Linked DNA regions of Kluyveromyces lactis. The protein of the gene in region 1 purifies or fractionates together with the protein of each later gene. This does not show direct contact. Links are inferred from orthologs where the notes say so. Each region holds a gene or a part of one and is shown on either strand. Other genes may lie near its edges.

What was found.
Region 2: the proteins of APL1 (region 1) and APM4 purify together in Saccharomyces cerevisiae (affinity purification with mass spectrometry; 4 studies listed by BioGRID, with this or other methods). This does not show direct contact. The link is inferred for Kluyveromyces lactis from reciprocal best matches to the Saccharomyces cerevisiae genes APL1 and APM4.

Annotation. Positions count from the first base shown.
Region 1 is NC_006041.1:841,139-853,091, forward strand, and holds APL1 (Apl1p), read left to right. Parts: upstream 1-1,994; coding exon 1,995-4,085; downstream 4,086-11,953. Other genes in the region: mitogen-activated protein kinase kinase kinase SSK1, read left to right, coding at 1-1,416; CMS1 (Cms1p), read right to left, coding at 4,160-5,086; THI73 (Thi73p), read right to left, coding at 5,462-6,997; KLLA0_E09593g (uncharacterized protein), read left to right, coding at 7,647-10,157; TFIIH/NER complex subunit SSL1, read left to right, coding at 10,449-11,915. UniProt on the Saccharomyces cerevisiae protein: Adaptins are components of the adaptor complexes which link clathrin to receptors in coated vesicles. Clathrin-associated protein complexes are believed to interact with the cytoplasmic tails of membrane proteins, leading to their selection and concentration.
Region 2 is NC_006039.1:350,322-361,921, reverse strand, and holds APM4 (Apm4p), read left to right. Parts: upstream 1-5,605; coding exon 5,606-7,033; downstream 7,034-11,600. Other genes in the region: MAM3 (Mam3p), read left to right, coding at 1-798; putative serine/threonine protein kinase RTK1, read left to right, coding at 1,290-3,071; ribose phosphate diphosphokinase subunit PRS5, read right to left, coding at 3,490-4,896; MRX9 (Mrx9p), read left to right, coding at 7,407-8,537; ARP2 (actin-related protein 2), read left to right, coding at 8,975-10,150; serine/threonine/tyrosine protein kinase MPS1, read right to left, coding at 10,354-11,600. UniProt on the Saccharomyces cerevisiae protein: Component of the adaptor complexes which link clathrin to receptors in coated vesicles. Clathrin-associated protein complexes are believed to interact with the cytoplasmic tails of membrane proteins, leading to their selection and concentration.

The DNA.
Region 1 (11,953 bases):
TTCAATGATGACAATGGTCTTAGGATGTTATCTTCTCAGCATACACGACAGCAATCTCAATCCCCTGATGATAACCTGAAATATGCGTACAAAGTCATCATAGAACCGGATACGCCCGTTATGACGGTATACAGGGAGTTATATGGGGGTTTACAGAAAAGTGAAGATGCTTTAACAGTGTTTTATCCTCCGATGTCTTCAAGTTCTCCTACCTCTCCTGAAGTATTGACTCCTGCTGAACTTTTAGATCCAATACGTATATTCACCAAGGACGCTATAGGACAGGAAAAAGAGATCCTACTCTCAGATATTAGCCAGGGAACTGAAATCGATTCTGTTGTTGAAAGACCCGATCAAAGACGGCCAAGTCTTTTTGGAAGTTTCTCAAGCTCGCGTAATAACACTGGAATACTACTATTACCAAAAGGTGTATCCCCTGAGGATATTGAAGGTAGCAATGATTCTCCGTATGAGGAAGCGAATATTTCCTTGGATAATATTGAAACTTCACCGCCACATCCAGAGAGTTACGCGTTGACAGCCCAGAAACCATTAACAGAAGAGGAAGTGGGTATATCATTAACAAAGACAATATCGTCTCCAGAATTACCTCGTCCACTATCCAGAAGGACCACACCCTCATTAGATAAGCAAGGCAACCTTCCAAAATATAAAGTGTTTCCTCGTATCAACGTGCTTATTGTAGAAGATAACGCTATAAACCAAGCCATTCTAGCATTATTTTTAAGAAAGAACGGAATTTCTTACAAAGTTGCCAAAGACGGAGTGGAAGCAATAGAAAAGTGGAAAGAAGGCGATAGTCATCTTATCCTTATGGATTTGCAATTGCCCCTGCTATCAGGGCTCGAAGCAACAAAAAAAATAAGAGAACTGGAACGAATTAACAATATTGGGAATTTCTCTCAAAAGAGTGTTTCTAAGAAGCCCAATCTGAAAAAAAATGCTAATTCTAAGGAAGAAGGAGGTACAACTGCTGCAAAGACAAGTGATCAGCAAAATGAAGTCGAGAAATCGAATCAGCAGAATATGGTGTTGGACAAATCGAAGTTTAGGTCACCTGTTATAATCGTTGCACTTACCGCATCTTACTCACAAATTGATAGAACAGAGGCCCTATTAGCTGGCTGTAATGATTATTTGACCAAACCAGTCAATTTGGACTGGTTAAGCAAAAAAATAACTGAATGGGGATGTATGCAAGCATTAATCGATTTTGATGGCTGGACTGAAGGACAAAGAAGGATGACTGATGATGTACTTTTGAGACCTCAAATTGTAACGGCAAGAAAATCACAAGCAACTTCTACTAGATCTGTACCGAGAGTTTCTTCTGTCTCAACGACACTTGAATGCGATGATTCTAAATATACAAAATCGAATGACTGTTGTCCGTGAATGAAACCATGGAATAATTGAATTACTTTGAGTTTTCTCAAGTTGTAACAATCATACATTAGCGTTTTACTATAATGGTCATCAGATGTCTTTCTCCGGCAAGAATATTTCAACATTCTTCCCACCTATTACAGTCCACAATCTACCGATAGCATCACTAATTCAACATCTTTTAGGTTTTGGAAAAGTATAATAATTATGACCAGAAATCATGCTATGTAACATTAACAAGAAACTATATTAGTATTGAGCATATATCTTAGTAAATATGACATTATTGAGGTAGCAAACTGTTTCGGACGGTACTGAAGCAGCCATGTCATATTAACCAGCCTTGGATTTAGAACAAATTCTTTGTCCGGGTAATAATAACACCAATCTCTGACTTTTTGTTTGATTTCAAGAACATGTCAAAAGTAACAAACACTAAATTAAAGTACGGTTTATAATGAAACTATCTTATATTTCCCTCAAGAGACAACTGTTACATAAACAACCATATTGCACGAACTGGATTGAGCTGTGTTGATACTATAAATATAAACTCTAATATCATTTCAGTCAGTACGATATTAATTATGTCGGAAAGCAAAATATTCTACAAGTATAAGGCACATGAAATAAGAGGGGAGTTGGTTTCGGATTCTGGTAAGGCCAGAGGTAGTTCGAAGAGGAAACTATGTCTTCGAAAGATTATAGCGAATTTGATCATGGGAAATTATCATGAAATGGCACAATTATTCGTTGACGTTCTACAAATATGGAATAGTGAAAATGATTTAGAGATAAAACGAATGTGTCATCAATATTTTTGCACTTTGACTCCATCAAAGCCTGATCAGTTAAGAATGGCTCTCCCAATTATCCTACAAGACCTTCTATCCAATTCTGAAGAGCTGTGCATTTTATCATTGCGCACAATAACGTCGATAGATGAACCGGAGTATATTCAAGAAGGCTTCCAGCATGTGAAGAAGCTAATCATGACAACTTCAAAAATATCTATTCCACTAAGGAAGGCAGCTATCCATTCTCTGATCAAAATGGATCAATTAGATCATACGAAAGTTTTAGAACTATATTATTTTCTCATGGATATGTTGGACTACGGTAAAGAAGAACCCACAATATTGGTTGCCGCTGTCACAGTACTTCATGAAATTCATGTTAGCAATCCTGATATGAACCCACTCCAACTAACGCAGAACATATGCTTCAATCTCTTAGAGGTATTAGGAAAAATCAATGAATGGGATATTGCGATTCTATTCGATATACTTACTACTGCATACTTACCAAAAACGCATTCTGAAGCTCACCATCTTATCGATCTTTCTGTACCGAAATTGCATAATTTGAATTCATCTGTCGTGCTCAATGCTCTAAAATTTATTATCTATCTAACAAATTACGTTGATTACATTGAAGAGAGGCTTGTGAGAAAGTTCTCAAGCTCCTTGACTTCTTTATTGAATAAGCCTCCTGAAATTCAATTTCTGGTATTGAGAAATGTAATCTTACTTTTACTATCGCGTGACTCTCCACTGATACACCTTGAACCTAATAACTTCTTCATTGAATATTCTGACCCGACTTATATCAAAGATACAAAATTAGAGATTTTATATCTCTTAGCGAATGAAGAAAACACTTCTCAAATTCTTGACGAATTAAAGGGTCAAGCAACAGATATCGATATCCAAATGTCCAAAAAGTCAATCAGAGCAATTGGTAATTTGGCAGTTAAGTATCCACATTCAGCAAGATATAGTGTTGACGTCTTGCTCGAACTTCTAGAATTTGGCGTCGATTACATTGTGCAGGAAGTCGTTTCCATGCTCAAAAATGTTCTAAGGAAATACCCTAATCAGTTTGACTTCGTAGTTCCACTTTTACCGCAATATTCTGATTCCATCCAAGATTCTGAATCGAAATGTGCAATGATATGGATCGTCACCAACCATTCAAATCAATTGGAAGACCCAATAGGTGTATTCCGCAAATATTCTGATAACTTCAATACTGAAGGTCTAGAAGTTCAATTATTGCTTCTCAACTCGGCAGTGAAATTTTTCTGCAGAGCGCAATCAAAAGAAACTGAACAGTTGTGTCTTAAATTATTGTCAGGAGCCACAGAAATTAACGATAATCCCGATCTTAGAGATAATGCATATATGTATTGGAGATTATTGTCATTGGCAGGAAACTCTTCTGAGCCACTATTTAACAACGATGTGGTACGGGACATGATAGATGGTGAACTTCCTGTCATTGAAATCAACACAAAATTGGATCCAATTGTTAGAGAAGAGTTGGAGTTAAACATTGGTAGCATTTTATCGGTATATTTGAAGCCTGTTTCCCAAGTTTTCCGGGGTGTAAGCCCTAAGAAGTTGCCGGAAAGTCCAGCACTTAATCATGAAAAATCATCCTTGTCTATAATTAATGACTCTATCAGTAACAATTCTACTGGAAGTTTCCACGGTTCTGATACTACTCGGAGATCCAGTTCTCCAATTAAGAAAATGACAGATTTCGATAGACCAGCTGAAACAGTAAACCAACTGAAAGACAAAAGAAAATCCAGCATATCTCTTTCAGCGACAAAACTAGCAAGAAAGCCATCGATGCTCGCAAGAAAATTGTCGATGCGGAAGCCTTTCCAATGAACAAAATTAAAACTAGCCACGCATGTCACGAACTTTAAACTAAACATATATATATATATATTCAATCAATATATTTAAAACAGTAAAATCTTTACAGAAGATTTATTCTTCAAAAACTCCTTGAGTACTTTATAGAGAACAGCGGAATCATCTGATGTGAAAATTGTGTTATTTTTTGGATCAAGGTAACTCGCATCAATGAATATATCTAATTTTTCTTTGCCTTGGAAGAAAAGATCGGTGCTCTCTATGATTTTTTGAATACGTGTTGGAGTTGATATGAAATATTTTACAGTTTCTGAGGAAAAGTTTTTACCCTTCATCTTCTTATTGGACTTCTTGTTTTTCTTCTCTGGTTTGGATTCCTTTTTAGATCCAAGCAGTTCCTCCACCTTAGTTATATCATCTTTAAGTTTATTCTTTGAGAACAATTTTACCGCTGTTTGATGGCCGTTAACACTTCTATATACATCTGCAACGCGGATGTTGGATTGAGAAAGAATTATAGATCTAGGTGACTTTGAAAATGTGTGAATGAAATCTTGGAAATTATTCAAACTGCGATCCTTTTCATATTTTTCCGTCGATAAGAAGTCCTGTTTCTTAAAGTACAACTCATCTAATTCTAAAGCACTTAAATCAGGGTTTTTGTCACGGATTGATGTGGCTAAGTACTCAATAATTTTATCAACTGATGCCTTAGGGAGGTTCTCCTTTTGAGCTTTTTCATACGCCATGCGTTCTAGTTTTTTTTGATGGAGAGAAGAATTAGCCAGTTTCTTTTGTCTTTTACTTAAAGGTTTTTCAGACTCTTCAGTGGATAAAGTGTTTCCATTATCTTCCGTATCCAATGCTCTTTTATTCTCTGAAACTTCATCTGCAGTATTACTATCATTGTCCTTATCTAGTTCGACTAGTTCACCATCGGATACCACATCATCGTCTTGGGCATCGTTAACCTCATAAACTAGACCATCATCTAAATCATCTGCGTGTACCATTATGAAACACAGATAAACTGGCAAGGTACTAAACTGTGCTACTTACTAGAAAAGAAATTTCTTAATGTTGGCACTACTCAATCATAGGAACCTCTGTTGAAGCCAATATCAAATGATCAGTTCCATGCGATGAGCTTCAATTTTACACTTTTTCTCTAACCTTGAAGATTCACGGCTTTTCCAACTAGATGGAAAAAGAAAACTGTTAAAAATGTTACCCGTATTTGCGACAGGTTCAAAAACATATTATATCAGTTAAAAAAGCATTAGACAATTGCTTAAGCATACATAGCACACTTTCAACAGGAAAGATGTGGCATTAAGATCAAAACGTATGTTAGTTATTAGTATTATTATTGTTATTATTTGTTTGGTTCAATAAATGTACCTGAAATTCCTGTTCTCAATATCTGTCTTATCTAAGAATTGATACTGTTCTGGTTTAGTTTCGGACTCAGCTTGTTCTTTGTCTCTTCTTCTGTTCTCTGTGTAAGAAGTGTAACCAATGTACAGTTGCAATGGAACACAAACACATTGAGTAACTAGCAATGCGATCTTGGCAGGAATGTATCTTGGGTATGAGTAAGCACGGAACATTTGTGGTGCAACGATACATGCGATATTGTAGACAATCATAGTTAACCCGTTTCTTGCTAGCCTTTTGGTATACCCAGAAGTGTTACAAGTATTCCAGATATAAATGTTCGTAATGGTACATGAACCACTGTATAATAGGTACAACGATAATAGGTTACCGATTTTATTTGTTAACGGTAAACAAATCATGACAATGCAACCAATGATTGCAGGAATGTACATAGATGTCGTGATTAAAGTGAATTGGGAAAATCTTCCTATCAATTGGGTTGTGATTAGAATAATCATGATGGTAACGCATCCGATAGGAAGTTGCAAAAGGGATGTCTGGTAGCTATCAAAACCAAATGTACCTGTGATGGTCACTGAAAAGGTTCCAATGGATCCAGTTGAAATTTGAGAACAACCAGTCAATAATAACATTGGCCATGTCAATTTATCCTTGAGTAACAATTCTTTCACTTGGTGCATCTTGATTTTCTTTGTTTCAAGACCAGTTTGGTTTGATCTGATATGTTCAATGACTTGGACTTTCTCCTTCTCGTTAAGGAACCATGCCTTAGGAACGTTATCTGGTAAATAGAAATAGGTTACTATACCGAATCCCACGGTCACTAAACCGACAACAAGGAACATGATTTGCCACGAGGTAAATTCAGTTCCGTGGTAATGTAAAAACCCAAATGACATTAAACCACCAATGATATAACCGGTTCCTGCTTGAGCAGCCCAGTAACCAATTCTTTGCGTTTGTTCCGATTTCGTATAATACATACCGTTGACTGTAATGCATCCTACAGCACTACACGACTCGAACAACCCTAATAGAACACGTACAATCATCAAACTTGCATATGTCTTACAAACACAATGACAAACGACAACGACACCCCAACATATGATGAACGAGCCCAACACTCGAGACACGGGAAACCTTTGGAGCAAATACACCGCAAACGGTTCTGCAAAGATATACGATGCAGAGAAAATAGTACCCAAATTAGAAAACTCATCACCAACCAAATTGTCCTTGATCCCCATCGATGCGGCATAATTTAACAATGCCTTGTCCAAAAACATCAATAGGTACGTACAGCATAAAAATGGCAAAACAAATATGTCAAGCTTTCTCAACACCTTCTTATCTAACACATGGTTCCCAAAGAAAGTTGTCTTCTCTGTAATATCTTCCTGTTCGATGCTCTTATCGTCCTTCAACTCGGCCGCTGCGGAACTTAGAAGGAACTTTCTAGCTACATCTTCCTCATCGCTTACGGAATAAACAGACTCACTGAGATCTTCTTTATCTGGCATCTTTTCTGGTTTGCCTATCTTGTTGACTTCGTTCTATTATTTTTAAATTGGGGACATATCTTCAAATTTACCAGGGAGGTAATTCGATTCATACTTCGATCCGATGAGGTTCTTTTATACTTCTCGATCCGTCCAAAGATTCATTCCGATTCCTAAACCACTAAAGGTAACTACAAGAACTGAAAGAATTGAAAAAAAGTCTTGCCAACAGAAACAGGCAAGTGCAAGAGAAAAGGACCATCTGGCCCATCTGGCACCTTTTTTCCATTCATTTCACCTCATTTCATGCAATATGCATGTATGTAGCTCAATGCAAGATGCGGTTACGTTGATCTGGCTAAAGCAGGTAACGTGACTAGCAAAGGGTCCTACTATCTTAGATAAGCTGATAATGTGATTGTGTCAGAATAAAAATAGAACTAGAGAAAAAGAAAAGGAAAAACGTGCGCGACGAGGCTCGAGAGAAGCGTCAGATTAAATTGTTAACGACAGAATGCAGGATTATAAAAAAAACATAAAGGGTTTAGTGGACATACTAGATCTGTTGTCTCTTAGCTTCTTGGCATTTAGTCCTTTTTGAAAGAGCACATTTTAAGACACACAAGAAACGGATATCTGTGAATAACGTAGTTTCTGCCAAGTAGGAACGATGTGGAAATTGACATTGTTCTTGGCGATATGGGTACCGATAAGCTTCTGTTTTGTGATTTTAGAGGACGAGTTTTTATATCTTCATAAAAATGGTATTTGCAATAAGCCACAATTTCACTATGAAGCAGATAATTCAGAGGAAGAGTTCGCGGTGTTTTACAACAACTGGGATGGATTGCAGTTACCAGAAACGAGATTCGGAGACCAGTTCACCAGTAAATATAGTTTTTTGAAATGGGTTGACGTATTCTATGGTACCCTGGGTGGGCATATGTTCTCCGGGACTGCTGTTCCCTTTGGTATGTGTAAGATGGGTGTAGATGTGATCAATTCGAAAAAGGGCGACGCGTACTCTGGGTTTCAACCCGATGGTGAGGTTGTTGGAGTTTCGTTATTGCATGAATCTGGTACCGGTGGTGCTCCCACTTATGGGGTTGTTTCGCAGCTTCCAATGATAGCTTCGAGTGCAAGTTCAGTTGATGTAACGAGGCAAATTTCTTTCAAGAGGAAATCGCCTGACGTTGCGCACATTGGCTATTATAAAGTAGAACTCGATAACGGTGTTGATATAGAATTTTCATCTAAGGATAGGTCTGGGTTGTATGAATATACTTTCCCCGAACTGAAAGACAACGGGAAACCAATTATCATGGTGAACGTGTCTCAGCATTTGCATTCTTTTGGCCGTCCGTGGTGGACTCAGAATTTTAGATCGGGCCAAATCAAAGTCTCTTCAGATTTGAAGTCTTATCAAGGTAAAGTGACGATAAATGGAGGTTGGACTGATCCCGGTGAATGGACCGTTAGCTTCTTTGGGAAGTTTGACAAGCCTGCACGTAAAGTTGCTACGTTCAGGAATGGGAGGACTCTACCGTTCCTCAGAAGAATGCAATCTTACTCTGGTGAATCTGATATTGGTGTATTATTTGAATTTGATGAGGATACTACCGTGTTGAAATCGCATGTTGGAATCAGCTTCAACAAGAACGAAGGTGTCAAAGTTGCTGCGCAGAATTTGTTAGACGATTATCCCGAAGACTCACAGTTTGATTTGACATGGTCTGTAGCGTCTGCTCTAGAATCTTGGAATGATAAATTGTTCAAGAAGTTCGAGATGAACGTTAATGAAGAGGACCCTTTGATCATAAGTAAACTATACAATTCATTGTATGGTACTCATTTGATGCCAACCAATAAATCAGGTGCAGAAGCACCGTGGGATAATGGTGAGCCATATTACGATGATTGGTTCACACTTTGGGATACGTTCAGATGTCTTCACCCCTTGATTAATATCATATCACAAGACCATGGTGCAGAAATGGTACGTTCTTTAATTGATATCTGGGAGGTTGAAGGTTTCATGCCGGATGGCAGATCTGGTGACAGATCTGGAAGAACACAAGGGGGTAGCAACTCAGATATCATGTTGGCGGATGCTTTCATTAAGAACGTTCATCAAGGGATCGATTGGGAGAAGGGCTTCCAAGCTATGTATACCAATGCAGAAGTGGAGCCGCCTTACATTGAGGACCCTATGGCTAACGACTCGACAAACAAATTTGGGAGAGGCGCTTTAAAAGAATGGCTTGAATTGGGGTACATAACAAGAAATTACTCAAGAAGTGTCACCAGAACTATGGAGTATTCGTATAACGATTTTGCCCTTTATATCGTTGCCAAAGGTCTCGGTAAAAAAGATTTAGCAAAGACATACCTTGAAAGATCGAAAAACTGGCGTAACATTTGGAACCCAAATGCTAAAAGTGTGAATATACACTATGACTACACCGGATTCGTACAACCTAGGAATTCTGACGGTACGTTTGCTCAACATAGATATGATCCGTTTACATGCTTTGGTTGCTATTGGAGAGACGATGAATATGAAGGAAAACCCGTGGAATATGGGTGGACGGTGCCTTTTGATATGAAGACTTTATTAGAATACATTGGTTCGAAAGCAATGTTTGAAAAACGTTTAGATGATATGTATGCGTTCTGTGGCCATGAGAACGTGGTTGATATTGGCAATGAACCAAGTTTTTTGACACCTTATCTTTACGCGTACATTAACAGACAAGATAAAACGTCAGCATTAGTGGATTGGATCATAAATACAAAGTTTAAGACGGGACCGCGTGGTTTGCCAGGGAATTCTGATGCAGGAGCCATGCAAGCGTGGCTAACCTTTGCCCTTCTAGGTTTTTATCCCGTGGCTGGTACTGATATTTATTTATTAACAAGTCCGAAAGTTAATTATTTGAAACTTAAAAGCATGCCTAACGTTCCAGATATTGAAATTTTTGCACATAACTTATATTCAGAATTTGGTGTCAGAAACAACTTCATTGAGAAAGTTGTTATCAATGACAAAGAACTCGATAAGAACTGGTTTAGACATTCCGAGCTATTCGAACACGGTGGTACCATCGAATACTACATGAGTGAAAAACCATTGGACTGGGATTCAGATAAAGAGTGTCCACCACAAGAATTCAGCGTTTAAGATTCAAGTATAATGGTGTAGTTCGTTAAATAAAATCAGTGATTATTAGGTTTTACATACAACCCTCGCTATTTTGTGTTGAAACTTTTTGATCATATGATCACATGATCAAAATCATGTAAGAAAATTTAGTGAATTTATAACAAGTGAAGCAAGATTTGAAGGTTAAAGAGTAACGCTACACCAATTTGGCTGAATAGACGTAGAGCTCCAGGCATTAGTCGATTTTTTAATTGGACTACATTTGGCTGTACTCTGGTCAAATTTTATTAATCGTTTTTGATTACGATAATGCCTCCTATTATAGATAGTGAATCAGACGATGAACGGATCATTGGAATCACTAACAAGAGACATAGACAAGATGGTCAGACCAAAGTGCTGAAAAACAAAGTGAAGAAGCATGTTAGAACAAAAGAAACTGCAGATTCGGATGGTGCAGGCAATGGGAATTCTAGTGATGATGAAGAGGATGAACGAGTTCATTCACAACTATCAAAGAGAAGTCGTGATCCAAGAAAAATGAAGAAGAAAAAGAAGAAGAAGCTGTCCAACAAGAACTTACAAGGTGTCAATGGTGGTTATGCCTGGGAAGATGACATTCAAAGAAGTTGGGACCTTGTCAAAGTTGATGATGAAGGCAATATCGCTGCTATTGTGGCAAGCATAGTTGAAGCAAGAAAAAAAAGGGCAGCAGAGAAGACGGTTACTCCGTATCAAAGAGGTATTATCAGAACCCTTATCTTGGTATTGGATTGTAGCGAAGCAATGATGGAAAAAGATTTGCGACCTAATAGATATGCAATGACAGTACAATATGCTGTAGACTTTATTCATGAGTATTTTGATCAAAATCCTATTTCTCAAATTGGTGTAGTTGTTATGCGTGATGGTTTAGCTCAGCTAATATCGCAGGTCAGTGGTAACCCTCAAGAACATATCGATGCTTTAAAGATGCTTCGTAGGCAAGAACCAAAGGGGAACGCTTCTTTACAAAATGCTTTAGAGATGGCTAGAGGTCTCTTACTTCATGTTCCAGCGCATTGTACTAGAGAAGTACTCATCGTTTTCGGTGCATTATCAACTACAGATCCAGGTGATATTCATCAAACGATTGGCTCATTGGTACATGAGAATATTAGAGCAAAAGTTATTGGTCTATCTGCTCAAGTCTCCGTTTGCAAAGAGTTGTGTAAGCAGACGAATTATGGAGATAACTCATATTATGGGATTATATTGAACGATCATCATTTTAAGGAACTATTCACAAGTGCAGTGACACCGTTACCGGTGAGCAAAGTGAACAAAGGGTTCACCTTGGTTAAGATGGGATTCCCTACCAGAGTATTTGAGGACACACCATCATTTTGTGCTTGCCATTCGACTCTAGTCCATGGTGGTTACGTCTGTCCCAATTGCAAAACTAAGGTTTGCTCTCTACCGACAGTATGTCCGAGTTGTGATTTGATGTTGATACTCTCAACACATTTAGCAAGATCGTATCATCATTTGATGCCTCTTAAGACTTTCCAAGAAGTCCCAGTGTCAGATAGCTTCCCTACAGACTATTGCTTCGGCTGCCAAAAGCGATTCCCCACCTTAAGAAATAACAAAACAGGCGAACTATTAACAAGCAGCAGGTACAGATGTGAAGAGTGTGATCAAGATTTTTGTATAGATTGTGATGTATTCATTCATGAAACGTTACACAACTGCCCTGGGTGTGAGTCCAAACCAATCAATGTAAATATCAAATGAATTTAACCCGCTAATCATTTTCTCGGTAGTTCCAAGAA
Region 2 (11,600 bases), on another chromosome or scaffold:
AATGAAAATGCGGAAAGCAGTGAGGCGTCCGGCAAAAATGAAACCACAAACTACCTGTCAGTAGGCGCAACGAATTTTCAGCCCGCAAACCCAGCCGCGAACCCTTTAGATATAAAGAAACCTTTCGTGACCATAAAAAGGCAAAGTTATGGCGGGATGTCCAGGACTCCTCCACGGCTTTCTTCTGAGCCAATTTCTCCTGCAACAAGTGTGATTGAAACAACCTCCCCTATAAGACGTGAACCTGACGCCATTTCACCCGTGGGAAGCGCTCCTACAACCGATGAAAAAAGGAAGTATGTATCCCATCATAACCATCGTCATAGATCTAATTCAAGCAGACGAAGCAATAGCGCTATGGTGCAACAACAACAACCACGTCCGACCTCGAACAAATCCAATGACAAGCTGATAACGACTATTCCAGCTCAAAACGACAAAGACCATCAAACCGTGATTTCTTCAAGTTATAAGTCCACTAGAAACGGGATCGTCGAATCGATAATTACAGTCAAAGGTGTTTCTAAGACAATCATAGAACCTGCGTCGGATTGGGATGACTCCAAAAAGGTAACCATCAACGAAACAGAGAACATTGCAGAAGAACACAATGAATCATCAAGTATAGACTCGAATACTACGAACACTCACGCTCATCCGCGATCCCCTTCGTCAAGACGTGGATCCAGATTCAGTCTTTGGTCAAGCAAATCTTCACAAAATGACCAAGATTCAAACGCTAAACAGCTGTCAAAATCTCAAGAAAGCTTCAACCTCGAATCCAGATCCAAAGATTAATTTATTCACAACTTTCCTCATCACAACACCTACATACATCTATAAATGCGCACTCACAAGCATGAAGACATTTCGATAAGTTAACTTCGGAGTTGCTAAAAGTTCACATATAGTCTTTCGACAAACATTAGATAGACTATGATATGCATATCTTTCAGTTTTAAGCTCAAAGCTATACTAATTACATCCGATTAGCACTCATATTCTTCAGCTGTATCGTTGCATAGATCCGTTCCATCATCGCACATGCTTTCTTGTGCTCATTCTCTCGTATATTTTGTGTTTCCGTCTTAATTCCATTTCCACTCTCTTTCTTCCACGGTATGACAATTTCGTTCAAAATGGTTAAATAAGGATTTTCTAATAAATAAACAATATAAAGACAATTAAAGTTAAATCGAGCCAAGTTATTAATACACATTAGCAGAATTAGTCACAGTAATGCACTGATAGAGACCGAGTCTACCAAGGGGACGTAGTGTGTAACGAGGATGCCTGACAATCAGTTGAGTGCGGAGTCCAGTCACGAGATTCAATCCGTAAAATCTGCAAGTTCTGCAGGTACGTTCTTTTCCAAGAGCTCCATCAAGAATAAATCAAGGCTAGCACTTGGACGATTCTTCCGCAATGCTAACGGTAACGGAAGCAACGGAAATGATAGTGGCAGTGAAGGCAGCCACAATACTGATACCCGGGTTTCTCCACAAATTTCCGGCGATCTTCCACCAGGACTTCAGACTTTAAAGCATACAAATCACTTGCATAATCCGAACAATTATCAGGCTAATGGCAGTTCGCAGACGCGAACACCTCATCCGAAGGATAACAAGCAAAGAAGCTTTTCAAATTCCAATTCAGTATCAAGCTCACCGGTTACACAGAATTCACATTCCAACTCTGTATCAGGCCTTTCAAATACACAATCACATCCATTATTGCACAATCATACGTCACATGAACATAACAAACCATCATTAAAGGTACAGCATTCAACTGTAACATTGGATACCTCACCTCAGCCGAACCAGCATCCTGCAGAGTATCTTCAGAGACAAATCGAACAATTTAAGCTGCAACCACCCCCTAAATTATCATCGGCCGATAATTCCCATCCAAAACCCCATCACAAGAAATCACTCCGTTTGAAACGGTTCTTTAAGCTCCACGAACAATCCGGAGAGCAAAAACATGTAGAACAAAAACAACCGACAGCAACCGCAGTCGTTACAGACCGTAAAACTACAAAATTGACTTTATACGACGCAGAAGACGCCCATGAATTGATACAGAAGTATGGTATTCCGGGGAAACTTCTCGGCGAAGGTGTTTCTGGATCTGTAAGTGTTGTAAAAGGTTCGGATAACACTTTGTTTGCAGTGAAAAAATTCAGACCAAGAGCTGCTAGAGAGACCTTGTTGGATTATTCTAAAAAAGTTACGTCTGAATTTTGTGTAGGATCGTTTTTGCATCATCAGAACGTTATCGAAACCTTGGATATGCTACAAGAGGGAGAGCATTTTTTGGTAGTAATGGAATATTGTCAGTATGATTTCTTCACATTGGTTATGAGTGATCTAATGGGAAAGCATGAAATCGCATGCTATTTCAAACAAATCTGTAATGGAGTTGCATATCTACATTCTCAAGGATTGGCTCATAGAGATTTGAAGTTAGACAACTGTGTTGTTAATGCTCAAGGTATCTTGAAGTTGATTGACTTTGGTAGCGCTACCATTTTCCATTACAAATACGAGGATAAAATAGTGAAAGCGAAAGGCATTGTTGGTAGCGACCCATACTTAGCTCCAGAGCTTTTGGTAAGTCAATACTATGATCCGAGACCCGTAGATGTTTGGTCCATTGCAGTAATGTTCTATTGCATGACATTAAGAAGATTTCCATGGAAAAAACCAAGCGAAGAGGTCGTGTCATTCAAATTGTTTGCTCAAAATCCAGATGATGAGAACGATCACACTAAGGGTCCATACAAGATTTTGAAGTTACTTCCACGTCATTCAAGACCATTGATTGGTAGAATGCTAGAACTAAGTCCTCACAAGAGAATCTTAATGCCGGAAGTTTTAGCGGACCCGTGGTTCCAAAATATACATTGTTGCGAAGTTGACAACGATGGAAAATTGATCAATCCACCAACTAACCACAAGCATCATTTAATTACGGAAGACGAATTAAAAGAGCTTACTGAGAAGAGAGAAAAGGAGGCTAACGAACGGAGAGCAGCAGAATTAAATCACAATACGACACAAGAGTGATAAAACTTTGCACCTATATCTCAGCATCATGAACCATATCATAACCATAAACAATCTTAACATTCATTCATAATCATACCCAAGCATTTGGTACAACATCATGCACTCTCGCAATAGCTTGGAGACTTTAGAACTTATTTCCCAAATAAAGGGCAATGTAGCATTTGTCGTGCATATTCTTTTCAAATTCGGCCTAATGCATGAAGACCAAGAAATCTGGGGAAACCATCATCATCCAAAGAAACTCTTCCAATGTAAGAATGAATTTTACAAGCTATTGACATTACACCATTGCACGGCCCAATAGAACAATAGAGTGAGACCAACTTGAAATTGATACATTTGTGTGTGTATATACATTTATATTTTTATTACATAAAACAACCTTAAAAGCAGAATCACAAATTCGGTACGATTACTACCATCCATGTTCAAAAAGAATACTTATCGATTCTCCGTTATGAATTCTTCTGATGGCTTCGGCGAAAATATTAGAGACATCTAGAACCTCAACTCTATCAGCACCTAGTACCTTAATTGTTTCGTCCTGTGGAATAGAGTTTGTGACAATTATCTTATCAATAACACTCTGTCCAATTCGGTTTAGAGCATCTCCTGAGAAAATACCATGTGTAATCAAAGCATATATTTTAGTGGCTCCTTGGTCCTTCAAGAGTTTTGCTGCTCTAGTAATGGTGTATGAGGTGTCAACCAAATCGTCAACAATAATACATTCTTTGTTTCTGACATCACCGACCAACATAGTAGTGTTCACGTATTTATTGTTTCCATTATTGGAGAGACTTGTCCTAATATCCAGTGACTCAATTAAAGGTTTGGTCGATACTGGAACGCCACCACCTGATGTTAAGGTGGCGCCAGGTGGACCTTTCAAAAGCTGTGACCTTCTTTCCTTGTGAATCATAGCAAAAGAAAGTTCTAAGACATCGGCGATTTTTGCAGCACGCTTAGCACCCCCAGCATCTGGAGAAACAACGACACAATCCTGATAGTTAGGAATATGATGTTGAATATAAGCCTGAGTGATAGGTTTACAGTATAGGTTATCAACAGGAATGTCAAAGAATCCTTGGAATTGAGAATCATGTAAATCCATAGTGATGACATGATCTGCTCCGGACGTAGTTAGCAAATTAGCGATCAAAGTACCTGCTTGGGCTACCCATAGCTTATAACTAGAATTGCTTGCGTTAAAGAGGGCGTCTGCATTTGAATCTTGCTCCTGCTCAGATGGATGTTCAGCCTTCCCGTTTGGAATCATGGGGATACGCGAAGAAGTAGATGAGGTGGGTCTCAACTCTACTGGACGCAAAGGAGTGGGACTTTGTAGAGACTGAGGACCTGATGAAGAAGCTGAGCTTGCGGCATCTAGCCTACTTGAATTTGGGGACATGGGCTTCTCTACTGTTAGCATGGATTGAGGGATAGGGGTTCCTGGATGTGACTCAAAAGTATATTTTTCCTTAGGCTTTGATATTAATGGAGCACCCTTAGCTGTGTATGGGATATCAGGCTGTCTTGAATACGAGAAGTATGGCATCACAGCAGTGACTCTGGATGCATCAGCTGTTTTACAGGCATTGATGAGAATCAATAGCTCCATAAAGTTATCATTAACATGGCCACATCCACTTTGAATCACATAAACATCTTTCTCTCTAACAGATTCTTCGATACTAATGGAGGTCTCACCATTTGAAAACTTACCTAGCTTCACTTGCGACCTTTCAATACCTAGATTCTCACAAATCTTATTCACTAAATCGAGATGGGAACTACCAGCAAAAACGACGATGTTATTCATTTCTTTCGACAAGACTTACAGGGCTTTATTAAACAGTAGTTTTCTGGATGAAGTACAATACAGGTTCAGCGTTCAATTCACCTCTTATGATCGTATCTGTATGATCATTGTACCGATCGATCTCGTTATCTCTGTCAAATTGTTATAAAAATTTTCGGACCTACTGATAGTAAAGCACATTGCAGAGAATCTTCAAAAAAGAAGAATTACCTGAAAAGGCCCGTGTTTCATCCAGAAGAGCCGCATTGTCAGTAGTGCCATGGATATATCATGTTTATTCATAATGGCCTACTCTTAGGTATTGCGTAAGACCTTTTTGTTCAGATCTGTTATAATTCCCTTGACATTATATGCTTTCCAATAGTAAATATATACAGCTTAGACACAATGAGTTGGGGCAAAAGCAAGGGAATGAATAAGATACAATTTCTGTTCCAATAATCTATCATTGCACAAACCAATCCATCAGTGAGTTGCCTATATAATAATAACATCTCGTCAACGTTCTTGTTCTTTTTCTCAGCTTTTGCTTTATTTTGCAAAGGTTTGATAAATAGCACAACAATAATTTTGAACTATGTAGCGTATATTTCAGTAAAGGTTCCTTAAACTGTAACTTCAGGCACTTGAGGTACACAGGGCAGTGCAAAACTGAAACGGTGGTGTTCGTAACCTACAGTATAAAAATTATCGTTGACCAACACGCAGCATGCTTAGTGCTATATTTATATACAATGCAAAGGGTGATTTGTTGATCAGTAAATTGATCAAAGACCATGTTAAAAGATCACTGGCAGATGTGTTTAGAACCCAAGTCATCAATGATCCACATGTGAGGTCTCCTATATTGACATTGGGCTCAACGACATTTCAACATGTTATCAGAGAAAGTAGCGACAACTTGCCTATGTGGCTTGTAGCAGTATCCAGATCGAATGTGGATAGTTCAATGATCTGGGAATACCTACACAAGTTGTACCAATTAATGGAAGCATTCGGAATTAACGATGAAGACGTGTTAAAGGATGAATTTATGTTATTGTATGAGATTTTAGAACTGACGTTGGAGAACGGCATCCCACAAACAACGGACTTAGCTCAAATAATACCAAGAGTATCACGAAAACCAATAGAGAATAACACAATTAGCAAATCTCCCGATTTGGATGATTTCTTATCCGGATCTAACATTCTAAAGGCTCCAAAGCTTTCAAAGCGGTCCTCAAGTTCAATTGCCTTGTCTTCATTATCTGAATGCCCTTGGAGGCCAAGTGGGTTGAAATACAAGAAGAATGAGGTATATTTGGATATCAACGAAAAGATCACAATATTGGTAGGTAAAGATGGGTCAATTGTGAAATCATTTGTTGATGGATCCGTGGATTGTGTATCACATCTATCAGGTATGCCTCTATGCCAACTAGGGTTGAATGACACATATTCGATTCATGGAAACGAAAAGTCAGAATTGTCCATTGTTGAAATGATGTCCGAGTACGATATTAAGAATAAGAAAGCTATACCGAATGCGGCTGCAGGCTCTGTAATATTAGAAGATTGTAAATTCCATCAATGTGTCCAACTTAATAAGTACGAGGCCAACCACGTTATTCAATTCGTTCCTCCTGACGGGCCATTCCAATTGATGCAATACCGTGTCATTGATAACATTAATATCCCATTCAACGTCATACCGGAGGTAGAAATCGTGAAGAACTCTACACTCAATTACAAGGTAACGTTAAGATCACTTTTCCCATCCAATGTCTCTGCCAAAGATGTAACAGTTAAAATACCTGTGCCCCCAACCACGATTAAATGCGATTTTAACGTCTCTGGAGGAAAATGTAAGTACGATGCCGGAGAAAAATGCATGGTATGGAAATACAACAAATACAAAGGATCTACAGAAAATACTCTGAGCGGTAAGGTGGCAATCCCTGCTACTTCCCACGATCTATCTGATTTGTTAAGATGGTCAAGACCGCCAATATCAATGGGCTTCGAAATTGTAATGTTTAGTAATTCCGGACTTGTGGTGAGACACTTGAAATGTCAAGAACCACAATTGAATTATCAACCGGTGAAATGGATTAAATATATCTCACATTCAGGAGCATACGAGATAAGATATTAGTCCACTGAGTGGGATGACTTGTCCCTATAATGGTGTCTTCATATTAATGTGCAACGAATTGGTTTACAAAAGTTTACCCGGATATGTATATATTATTCATGTTTTTCCTATTTAAACAATGTAGTAATAATATTCCAAAAGTTTAAAGGAACAGAAAGCAGATTATAAGTCATCCTGCGATCTTAGTATGGGGTTTGCGATGATATAGACAATTTGGCCTTTGAAATTCCTATAAAATTCCTTTGTAAATTAAGAAGCTTCATAGATTTCAAGACTATGAAGACATTTTGCATTACCAGAAGTAATCGCTTATTGGTATAAATCTGAGAAAATACAATTCCGCACATCAGACATTGTGATATTCTTCTGTGAGATGCTTCCCCTAAATCGATTTCAATTGTGCGTTAAATCACAGATTGGGCTGCGACCATTTCAATCCTTGACAAAGTTAAAAGCATACAGTCCTGCTAGTCATGGATGTGTCAAGACGGGTCAGTTTGTGAATTTGGTGCCACGGTTCCCACTCCTGGCAGCTTTGAATCCCCGGATGAATCTTTTACATTATAACCAGAATATTTTGGTCTCTCCTGTGAAGATGGCGCTTCGAAATTTCCATTCTACGCCGAGAAACATGGTACTTGGTGGACGGGATCCTTTCAGAAAAAGTCCCTTTAACAATCCCAGATTTATCTTTTCAATCAGCCCTTTTTCCTTTATTCTTTCCACGTTACTGTTCGCTGGATTCATAACAATGATAGTATTTGTTTTGCCTTTCTTACTTGCTTTGCTTTTCCCGATGGTGATATTTGGAATAGGGTGGTATCAATTCAAAGCTTTTAGAACCAGGAAACTTATGCAGCTTTTGGATCATGCTTTCAATCAAACTAAGATGAAGCTTTCATCCACCACAAGGAGAGAATTGATAATGAAGCAAATGGTCCCAAAATTCAAGTCATTTACCCAGCTAAAGGACTTCAGCGGATTCCCCTTCAAGCTCTCTCAAGCATTTACAGATAAGTTTCAATCGGGAGAATTTCCCAACGCAGACAGATTTCTTTCCTTTGTGAAATCGAGATTAGATGAGAGTTTCTATAAAAACGAACACAACATCAAATCCATAGTTTTAGGAAGTGATACAGCTTATGTTCCAGGACACATGGAGTTAGTAACAAACTCGTACTCTTTTGTTTCCAGCGTCAGAAATAACGAAAACATCCAAGCTTTTTCATTTATGCTATTGAACATGGGTTCTGAGGGAGTCCGTAAACCAGTTGCATTGGTTTACATCGTTACAAAGGCAAACCCAGGGGACGAATTGTTGATGTTCACTGGTGACTACATTGATGATTCTAAGTTATCCCCGATGGTCATCTATGTACGTGCTCTCAGCCCATTTTCGAAATGTTGCTTCATTACAGACGTCGGAGAAACTGGAGCAAATGCACAATATAGTGTAAAACGAAAAAAGGACGGCAGTAAAGAATACACGTACGAAAGTGATTAAAAGAACTAACGCCCTCACCTAGGTACTGACATGACATTATTAAGAATCATCACTTCACAAAATCTATTTAAGTTGACACAAACCGTCACAATTTATACATATTCATCAATGAAATAAAAAAGATCATATAACACATATCCAAGCAAACTATAAGATTCATTTGAACCATATGAAAACATGCTTTACATGTAAATCCAACGATTTAGCGGCTATCTTGTGACGTGCCAATAGCTTTATACCTCCTGGATAAATTCTATATGGACAAACATGATCACATGATTTACGTGAAAAACGACATCAACAACATTGGGAAATAGGAGATGTTCTTAAAGAAAGAGAGGAAATAAAGGTTTATTTCATCAGATTTAATAGTGGAACTGGGGTAATTAAATCAAACGGACATTTGTGAGCATCTTCAACCCATTAATAAAGCGAAAATGGACCCACATACTCCAATTGTTCTTGATCAGGGTACTGGTTTCGTGAAAATTGGCCGTGCTGGTGAGAACTTCCCAGATTACACCTTCCCATCCATCGTAGGTAGACCGATTCTTAGAGCTGAAGAAAGAGGTCATGCTTCTACCCCATTGAAAGATATCATGATTGGTGATGAAGCAAGTGAAGTTCGTTCATATTTACAGATTTCGTACCCAATGGAAAATGGTATCATCAGAAACTGGGCAGATATGGAATTACTATGGGATTATGCTTTCTTTGAGCAGATGAAATTGCCAACTACATCCGGCGGTAAGGTACTACTTACCGAACCACCAATGAACCCCATTAAAAACAGAGAACAAATGTGTGAAGTTATGTTCGAGAAGTATGATTTTGGTGGCACATACGTTGCAATTCAAGCCGTTCTAGCTCTATATGCTCAAGGTTTGTCGTCGGGTGTCGTTGTTGATTCCGGTGATGGTGTTACTCACATTGTTCCTGTTTATGAATCCGTTGTTTTGAATCATTTGACAAGAAGGTTAGACGTTGCTGGGAGAGATGTAACCAGACACTTAATTGACCTTTTGTCTCGCCGCGGTTATGCATTCAACAGAACTGCCGATTTCGAAACTGTTCGTCAAATTAAAGAAAAGCTTTGTTATGTATCTTATGATCTAGACTTGGACACAAAATTAGCAAGAGAGACGACTACTCTAGTGGAATCTTATGAATTACCCGATGGGAGAGTCATCAAGGTTGGACCGGAAAGATTCGAGGCACCAGAGTGTTTATTCCAACCAAGTTTAGTTGATGTCGAACAACCAGGTGTGGGTGAACTTTTATTCAACACAATACAAGCAGCAGATGTGGATATCAGAACATCACTTTATAAAGCTATCGTCTTGTCTGGTGGTTCATCCATGTACCCAGGTTTACCTTCAAGGTTGGAAAAAGAACTAAAACAACTATGGTTTACAAGGGTTCTACGCAATGATCCCACACGTTTGGATAAATTCAAGGTCAGAATTGAGGACCCACCAAGAAGAAAGCATATGGTGTTCATTGGTGGTGCCGTCTTAGCGAACATTATGGCCGATAAAGACCACATGTGGTTATCGAAGCAAGAATGGCATGAAATAGGTCCTGCTGCAATGTCAAAGTTTGGACCAAGATAAATGAATGATTAAAACTCTTATATAATAGTACATTTGTATTACGTAGGTAAACTTATTAATGCACCCATAGGTTCATTTGCTGGCTTCTTATGGGAGCACAGCATTCATATGTTGCTTCTTTATTCAATGCAGGAAAAAAAGCCATAAAGACGGCATGTCAGAAGTGCTTTATCCCAGTACTGCCCTCAGTGCAATAGATTAATCTATAATTTAAATTCAGCTAGTTTGTTCCAAACATCTTCAGATAATTCTTCCACACGCTCATTATTGACATGTTTTTGATCGCAACCATAGTTTACTGCATTTTTTATCAAATCATGTATGAAGAATTTTGTTACGGTGACAGGATTAATTAATGCACCACTTAATAGCTGGTCAATTGTAACACGAGATATGGGATTTCTTTCCAAACATGATCTTATAGTGTCAATAACAGTTCTTGGTATCACTGTACCGAAAGAGTCTTTTTCAGGATAAGGAATCTTAACATCAGGATTCATGATCGCATATAACCTATTGTTTCCCTGGAACGTACCATAAGGCGGTTTTCCGTACACCATTTGGTAGAGGATACATCCACAGGACCAAACATCTGATGGTTTACCCACTTTCCATTTGGCTTGTTCACCATCATTCCTTGTGAAGTTCATTGCAACCAAAGTCTCGGGAGCCATATAATTGGGAGTTCCGATCTGGTTGTCTCGATAAATATTTACAGTGTGATCGGGAACCGCATTCGCAATCCCAAAATCAATTATCTTTAACATTCCCTTGACGAAAACAAAATTTGCGGGTTTCAAATCAGAATGGACAATATCAGCATCGTGAACCACCTTCACACATTTTATCATTTCTTGAAAGTGATATCTGACAAATTCCGTATCAAATGGTATTTTGGATCTCTGAGTCAATACTTGGGATAGATCATGTTCACCACATTCCATTAGGAGAAATAAGACACCTTGTCCCATATGATAGTCAATTAACTTAACAACTCGCTGCTTGTTTTCTAGTTTCTTTAGAAGCTCTATTTCCCCTTTGAAGCCATCAATACTGGACTCATCAAATTCATCGAAAGACACGCGTTTCAACGCGTATACCTTGTGATCAGAAGATTTCACTTTGTAAACTTTACCCGATCCACCTTTGCCGAGTAGTTCCACCTTTTCATATGCGGTACCGTTCACTGTGATCGTTGGAACAGCATACGAGGTTCTCTTCTTTGTATCAAAGGAGCCATTATAGTTCAGATAATTATCCCCCTTGTTCAGTTTTGATGAAACATCGCAACCCTCGGACTTCAAAGGAATAACTTCAACAGTGGATTTCGGAGGTTCCACTATCTCGACCTTTTTAAAGGGTTTCGAATCATGTGGCGATGGTGCCTTCCTATGGGAGAAAAAAGGAGGTCGATAATCCTCGGGTACATGATCATTTTCGTACTTTGGTC